Linked DNA regions of Nothobranchius furzeri. The protein of the gene in region 1 binds, or shares a complex with, the protein of each later gene. Links are inferred from orthologs where the notes say so. Each region holds a gene or a part of one and is shown in the gene's direction. Other genes may lie near its edges.

Region 1 (4,309 bases):
CAGAGACATGGACAACATCCAGGACAGTTGTCCCTGAGGACCAGGGTTGGGACACACTGAGGTACACTATGACATAAGCTGGTACTATATGATGTCACAATGCTGTTGTGAGCCTGTGTGTTTGTGTGTTTGTTAGTGGCTCCACCCTCTCACTCTGCCAGGCAACAGCATTTGTTGCACTTTTCAAACAGGAAGTGGGAGTGGAGTAAGCCTCTGGTAGGGGGTGACTTGCTCTTTAATGAGTTAACTAGCAACATTTTACAGATAATAATTATTGCTGTGTGGAATTTGTTGCATCTTTAAAATGCTTCGTAACATTTTTCTCACACACATTCCACTAAATCAGAAGTGAGATCAAAGAAAAGGTTTTTATGTGAGGGCGCACGGTGGTTGGGATGGGTAGCGTTCTGTCCACGTCCGTCACGGGCTGGGTGGGGGTTGAGCGGGTGCGCTTTGCCGACCTCCGGGGAGGCTTGGTACTGGAAGACAAGATGAACGGCTCTCTACAGAGACTCGGCTCTCATTGTTCACTTTGAAAACCAAAAGATTTGATTTGCTCGTGAATGTCACATCACTGCAGATAAATGAGTATGGAAGAAGAGGACAGAGCATCGTTCTTCTCCCAGACGGAGCAATAATCATACATTTGTGTCTCTGAGGACTACAAAGATGTCAGAACTAAAACAGACCACCAGCTGTTTTACATCCAGTGGTCTCCTTTAAAATGCAGCTGAACGCTCACCTGTTCAGGTGCTGCTACCTCTTCTTACTCGTTTTCTTTCTTCCCTCTCATTTTTATGTTAAATTTTCCATTTTCACAATTTATTATGTGTTTTTAATCATGTTTTAGTTTTGTTCTTGTGAAGCACCTCTTGACTCTTATCTTCAGAGGTGTTGCCCTTGTTCAGGCTGGCTTTTGTGTGACCTTCTTCACCACTCTCTTTATTCTGCTCTCCCCACCTATTCCACCTTCCTCAGGATCTTTCCCTATCTATTCACTCTCTCTCTCTTTCTTTACATTTTTTTAATCACAATTGTCTATTTTTTGCTCATTTTAAACATATTTTAACCATTTTCTAAATTATTTTTTTATGTTTTACACTTTTTTTTGTGAAGCGCCTCGTGATTTTCATCCTGAGAGGCGCTATAGAAATGATACTTTCTTCTTCTACACACACACACACACACACACACACACGCACACGCACACACACGCGCGCGCGCGTCTACAGGCCCTCTGTAGACTTTGCCGACATTTCCGCTCCTGGCCGCCGGGGGCGCTGTGGTCCAATGGTCCTGTTAGTCCGGGACAAGAGTTAAAACACGTGCGTGCTGGGTGAAAGCAGAAAGCAACAATCGGTTATTGATTATCAGAGATGACGAAGACGAAGAAGGAAAACGCGGATCCAAATGATTCGGTCGCATCGGCCGGTGGTTCCGAGAGGACCTACCAGGAGCTGGTCTCCCACCTGAACCCGATCTCTCAGCCGCTGGCCTCCAGGAAGCTCAGCAAGAAGCTCTACAAGTGCGTGAAAAAGGGTAAAAGACCACCGAGACCCGTTAGACCGGTGCTTGTGTCCCGCTTCTTTACCCGGTGTTTTGATTTCAGCTGCTAAGGTGAAGAACATCCGGAGGGGCGTGAAAGAAGTTCAGAAGTTCATCAAGAAAGGAGAGAAAGGGTGAGTTAGCTTCACGGTGCCCGGGTCCGTCCAGAACCTCAGTCCCCATTACTGTAGTGGTCCGGTCCGTCACTGTTTTCTGTCCCTCAGAAGAAGTTCCGCACTAATTTTTTTTTTATGTATTTAAATGTGAACATTATTCAGTTTTAGCGCATTGAACCATTCAGGACACCGTAGTCATCCGCGCGTTAGAACCTCACCTGTGCTCACCTGAACCCGGTCTGGTCTCTGCAGCATCGTGGTCCTGGCGGGCGACACGCTGCCCATCGACGTGTACTGTCACCTGCCCATCATGTGTGAGGACAGGAGCCTGCCGTACGCCTACGTGCCCTCTAAAACGGTGAGTGAGTGGAGCTGGGGTCAAAGGTCAGCAGGTGTTGTCAGGATTTCAGATTTCTCACACGTCAGTTTTAACCCTTGACTTCAAGTAAAACACACATTCTATGAGGTAAAGGGCTGGTGTCGTGGTTTTTAGATTCTGATTGTGTTAAACGTTATTATTACTATTATTATTACTACTATTACTAGTACTATTATTATATATGATATATGTGTATATATGATCCAACGGTTTTGATCTAAATCAGGGCCGTGTGCATATCTGGTCCATCTACACCGGGGGGAGGGGGTTCCACGTAGTGAGCTCAGAACGTCAGCGCTATAATGAATCCATGCTTCCGTACCACCAACGATGCTCGAGTGGAATCATCTCTATTTAAAGCAAGGCCCACAGGCAGACCCTGTTAATCGATACTAGATAAATGAGAATGGAAGAAGGTACAGAGCCTCGTCCTTCATCTGGATAGAGGAAGATTTACGAGGACTACAAAGACATCAGAACTAAAACATGCCACCAGCTGTTTGATCAAAGCTGGATAGCTGGAGTGTTTACAGGTTTCCATGGCAATGCCGAAAGTCCGCCTCAGCTCTGTTGCTGAGTTTTCATCATTTATATGTTGTTATCATGTTCTGCTCCAGGGTCTGGGTGTTTACAGTCTCGAGGACGTAGTTTTTGCTGAGCAGTAGTGGTGGTCACGTGACCTTAAAGTTGCCCGTTTGTCACAAGTATGTTTATGTTTATTTATTTGGCAGACGCTTTTATCCAAAGCGACTTACAATTTATAACCTATAGGGCGTGTTGTGATCTGTGGGGGAAACCGGAGTACCCGGAGGAAACCCGCGCATGCATGGGGCCAGAGTACAGCTTTTAACGCAGGGCTACTCGGTTAGATTTTTTGTTGGGCCAAATTATCATGAGGCTTTTGCCAGCGGGCCGTACATTTCCCCGTATCTCATATTTACCTATTAAAACAAAGTGCCGCTGCATTTTCAACAGTTTTATTGAAACAAGTCAAATGACATTAGGATTAACTGCTGGTTTTTAGTGAAAATAATAGAAACTGCAAAACATAGCCAACTCTGGTTTTAACAGAACTCCGAGTCACAAACTCAGTTACAGTACTTGTTTTCGCTTAAAATAAAGCCAAGAAAACATAACCAGCTGTAGTTTGACTGAAATCACGGTCACATAAAGAACACAGTAACGATAATTACAATGTCTTTTATGCAAATAAGAACAAACAAAACTTTCAATTAAATCACAAAATTAAACTACTGGCTTTTAAAGCATATAAATGAAAGAAAAGTCTGAGTCAACAACTCATAGTGACAGCACTTGCTCTGTGCTTAGTAAAGCGTAGAAAACAACCGGTTTAGTAGGGCTGGGGGTAAACGATTATTTTTAAAACGATTATTCTGATGATTATTTTATCGAATAGTCGACTATTCTAATGACTATTTAGAAAATTAATCTAATGATTATTTTTCTATTGCACAATTAACAAAAACCAGAAAATCTCAAATAAATTCCTCAAAAAAATTGATAAATTCTTACTGTAAGAGAATAAACACTACAGGCCTTCCATGCTTTTATTGTGTTGGTTGGTTATGTTCTGGTGACGTGTAGAACTTGGGAGTGCAGGCTGCTGCCTGAGAGGTGGTAGAAGATGGAGTGTCTCCATGCTGCTTTGTTTTGGTCACTTATGTGCGTGAGGCGAGTGGTCTTACGGGTTAAACCAAACTCAGGTGATATTTTACACTAAACCGAAAACCCACAACACTCTAAATGTAATAAAAGGGAGATCTGCACCACAAAAAAAGATGAACTCTAAACCAAAACGTAACAGCTTATCCCAACGCAAGAAGCTGTTAGCGAAGATGCTAACAGTAGCTTTACCAACGTTAAGTTCAAGTTACCAAGTTTAAATAAACCAAAAACACCCAGCAGCAAACAGACCAGCATGGAGGAGAGACCGTTACCACCAAAACAGCTCTCCTCATGTCTGAAAGAAGCTCCTTAATGAAGGGAGAAACGCTCCCGGTGATGTTCTACATCTGCGATAGACACGAAGCAGCGCGTCTGACCCCGGAAGTTGTTGTCCGTTGCCGGGAGACGAAGGGGCAAAACAGGAAAGGAATCTAGTAGTGGACGGACGTTGTTCCGGGTCTTCGGTATTTGGCGGAGATGTTAGTGAAGGCGGAGAAGAGGGCGAACTAGAGGAAAAACAGACAGATTCCTCCTCTATTTACAAACTCCTGGGGATGCAACAAGTGGGCGCGGTGCGTCGACT
Region 2 (3,880 bases), on another chromosome or scaffold:
GAGATGAAATCAGGGAGGGAACACTCCTCGAGATTCATTGTGGAGATGCTGAAACTGTTGGACAAAAGATGGAAGTTACCTCAGACAACTTCTCAGCATGTAAATGACTCCCAACATAAAGTTAGAGTCTGCTGTGAGGTTTTCTGTTCCTATCTGTGTTTTCAGGGGACATTTTAAAAGGAAACACATGTGAAGGAAGGTTTTGGCATGAAAACCTGTGCAGAACCAACCCTCTCTCAGACTTAGGAGGCTGCTTTTAAGTACCAGAAAAAAATAAACAAAGACAACAAGACTGAAGCAACAAGTACTTTGTAACACCGCACACTCGGCTAAGGTTGCAAATATCTCCTCTGACTTGGTTCTTTAATTGGTTCTTATATTAATTTAAAACAGCAATTTGAACATATTTGTTTCACTAGATAGGCTTAATGAAGAAAAATAAGTGTTCTCAGTGGAAAAAGATGTACCGGTAATAATTTAATGAATGAATTTTCATGGACTTACCTTTCTCGTTTGACATGAGTAGTTTATGGTGAATGCTGCAAAAACAGATTCCAACTTTATGTCTGTTTGAAAGTAAACATCATTATTGTTTAATTTTGAATGTGAGCTTTTGGATTTCATAATTCTGGAAGAACTGGATTTAAAGAGCAAGTCAACCCGTACCAGATTCTAACTCCACTCCCACTTCATGTTTGAAAAATGCAACAAATGCTGTTGCCTGGCAGACCGAGAGGGCGGAGCTGCTAACAAATACACAAACACACAGGCATTGTGACATCATAACGTACCAGTTTACATCATAGCATACCTCTTAGCCAATAGCGGTGGCAGATTTAAATTAGAATACAGTGCAGAATTTTTACCTGACAACGGCACAACACTGACAGTTTTAGGCAGAATATCTAAATTTTAACTAAGATGCACTGAAGTGCCAAATTATTGACGGCACATGTCTGCAGCACGATTAGACACTCGTTTATTTAGTTTATCAGCAAAAAAAGTTTATTTGGGGGTGACTTGTTCTTTAAATAGTTTTTATATTTTATTTGTTTTATAGCACAGCAGAATTTTCATGCAGATGTTCAAGAATGTGTTTGGTTGTTTTGGTTAAAAACACATTGTGTTTTGTTTTGAAATTGGACCAGTAAAAGTTACTCTGTTACTGATTCAGCTAAGGGCCAAAATACTTTATTTGTTCTCGGAAGAAAATTAAATGTTGTAAATCGATATTCAGAAACAATAATTATAACAATCTAATAAATATTGTTATAATAATAATCATCTCATATAATTCAAGATTCTTCAAAGAGTTGTTATAGATGCTGGTGGGTCTGTAAAACGTTGAGAGGTGGTTAGAATAAAGCATAAAAGTTCTGAAAATGCACTTTTATTAGTGTGTGATATTCAAAAGAGCCTAATTTGCGAGTAAACTCAGTTCCCCATGATTCCAAGCGGCCTGATCATTAAACCGGATATCCGACTAGAAAGTTCGTTGCACGTGGATCCACGTTTTCTAGCTTCCTAAAATAAAGTTGGATTTTTTAAAACTTATAAAGCTTCATATCAAGACTTTTCGTCATGTTTTTGCAGTTTTATCTTAACGAGTCTGGAGACAGAGTATATACTCTGAAGGTAATTTGTGTGTGTTGTTCGTAACATGTCTTCTCTCCTATCAGTTTCACGTTTTAGCTCATTACATTTAAATTTATTTTGTTGGAAAACGAAAAGTAACATCACGTGGCTTCTATTAAAACATAAAGGAGCAAGTCAAACCAAAAAAATCTCAAGATGTGTTATTCGTGTTGTTTTCACGTTAGCCTCACATGTAGCTAACATTGATAGCAACTAGTATCTAACATGGATAGCAGCTGAGCTAACAAAGCATGGCAATGCCGCTTTATTTATAAAGGCTACTTCATACCAGGCAATTCAAAGTGCTTTCCATGTGCAGCCAGCAAAATAGCGGCGAACATGGACAGTTGCAATTAGTGGCTAACGTGGAAAGCTTGTAGCGAACCAGTATAAACACAAATAGTTATATCCCAGATCGCCTTTGTGTGTTTTTGGACAAACACATTTGATTTTAGCTTCTGATTTATACCATATAAAAATCCTTTGCTTTTAATACGTCAATAACCGAAACGTAACAGTTTAAATTAATACGTCAATAACCGAAACGTAACATAGTTTAGTGAAAAATGCGTAAAATTTAGTTTTTACGCATGAAATAAAAAACTCTTTACATGTTTTAAAAGCTGATTGTACTTGCAACTGAATAGGTTATTACTGTAAATCAGAGTAGTGTTACAAGAAAATGAATCAAACATATGTTAGTGAGGGTTTATTTTATTGTATACCATAATAGCCATCATATTCTAAAAGGTGAATTTAGGTGTTACACTTAATTTCATCCACGTATCTTATTTCGTTGGTGAAATGTAAAAAAAAAAAGCTGACATATGCCTTTATTTTTCAAATCAGTGTTCTTCCCTAATGCACACATATTTCCCTTCATCTTTGCCTCCAACAGAAGGCATCTCCTGATGGGCAGCCCACCAGCTCTGCCCATCCGGCTCGTTTCTCTCCGGATGACAAGTTTTCCAGACACCGAGTGCAGCTGAAGAAACGCTTTGGCATTCTGCTCACCCAGCAGCCCAGGCCAGTCCTGTGAGGGAGCTGGAAAGAGTGGAGTGAGGAGGCATGGATGGATGAAGAGCTGAAGATGGCAACATGGATTTTGAAAGGACACTTGGTGTGTTGGACTTGCTGGTTTGGATCGATTACATGAGGTCTTTAGATTTTAGTAGAGGTTATTGTCATTTTTTATGCTTAAAAATGTTTGATGAATTTTCTTGAATACTGTTTGAATTCAGGATTTGATGGCTAATTCTCCTTTATTGCATACATTTAAACAAGTAAGGTATACTTGACATTGTCTGCAGTAAAATAATACTATGTTAGCTCCTATAACCTCTATTTGTATGCCAGTTTTATTTTGGGGGGGACGACGACATATAAGAAAATTTGAGTAGAAATAACATTTATTGTGAATATAAACTAGAATTTGAAATATAAGGTGTTTACTATTCAGTCATGGTGTGTAATTTATGAGCTGCAGACAGTTTCCCAGAGGTATTTTTGTTTGTGCTAAATGAATCTTGACTATTCACAAAACACTCAGTCAGTGACTGTTGAATGTCATGTTTTGGTTTCAGTAACATCTTGGACTAACTGAAAAGACAAAATGAACAGTAAAATAATTAACACCCTCAAAGCACACTTGTTATTTTGATCCATGTACTCAAAATACCCAGTGAGTGTTAAAATGTTGTGTTTTTAATGAAAAATTGCATCATTTTTTTCAACCTTTATTTTTTCCAGATAGTGTTTGATAATATTCTCATTTACAAACATCACCTGTCCGAGGTAATTTTGAGGTGCAGCGGAAAAACATTAGCTCATTTCAGCTATGTTGCTTTTTCTTAATATTGTTTAATTCGAACTTTATGAGCTAATATTTGCTAATTTATCAGTTTGAACATTTTAATGTGAAAATCTATTTCCGCGTGTTTTATGTTCAATATGAACTCATCCTTCTTGATGCAAACTGGTTTTGTGCTAAACTCAGGAAACTTGCTAAATTGTTGGAATAAAATAACGTAAACAACTTGTTTACGTAAAGACCACATCTCCCCTCACTATTGTCACTGAGTAAAACGACGCATGCGCAAACTTGCAACGGCAAGGGAACTAGGACCTGACGGGCTCACTTGCGTGAGTGTTTTTGGTGGGTTGCTTGGACGAAAAAGTGCAGAGAAAAAGCAGCACAGATGTCACCGGGAACTGCCGTACCCAGTAATGTTGTCTGAGGGAAACG

Evidence for each region.
Region 2: nhp2 (region 1) and nop10 share a complex: the UniProt entries of both Homo sapiens proteins name them as parts of the H/ACA small nucleolar ribonucleoprotein (H/ACA snoRNP) complex. The link is inferred for Nothobranchius furzeri from reciprocal best matches to the Homo sapiens genes NHP2 and NOP10.

The regions. Positions count from the first base shown.
Region 1 is NC_091750.1:25,734,655-25,738,963, forward strand, and holds the start of nhp2 (H/ACA ribonucleoprotein complex subunit 2-like protein), read left to right. Parts: upstream 1-1,263; 5' UTR 1,264-1,376; coding exon 1,377-1,539; intron 1,540-1,609; coding exon 1,610-1,679; intron 1,680-1,879; exon of another isoform or gene 1,880-1,913; coding exon 1,914-2,019; intron 2,020-4,309. UniProt on the Homo sapiens protein: Required for ribosome biogenesis and telomere maintenance. Part of the H/ACA small nucleolar ribonucleoprotein (H/ACA snoRNP) complex, which catalyzes pseudouridylation of rRNA.
Region 2 is NC_091742.1:80,334,194-80,338,073, forward strand, and holds nop10 (H/ACA ribonucleoprotein complex subunit 3), read left to right. Parts: upstream 1-1,453; 5' UTR 1,454-1,581; coding exon 1,582-1,635; intron 1,636-2,533; coding exon 2,534-2,674; 3' UTR 2,675-3,277; downstream 3,278-3,880. Other genes in the region: uncharacterized protein, read right to left, coding at 1-38. UniProt on the Homo sapiens protein: Required for ribosome biogenesis and telomere maintenance. Part of the H/ACA small nucleolar ribonucleoprotein (H/ACA snoRNP) complex, which catalyzes pseudouridylation of rRNA.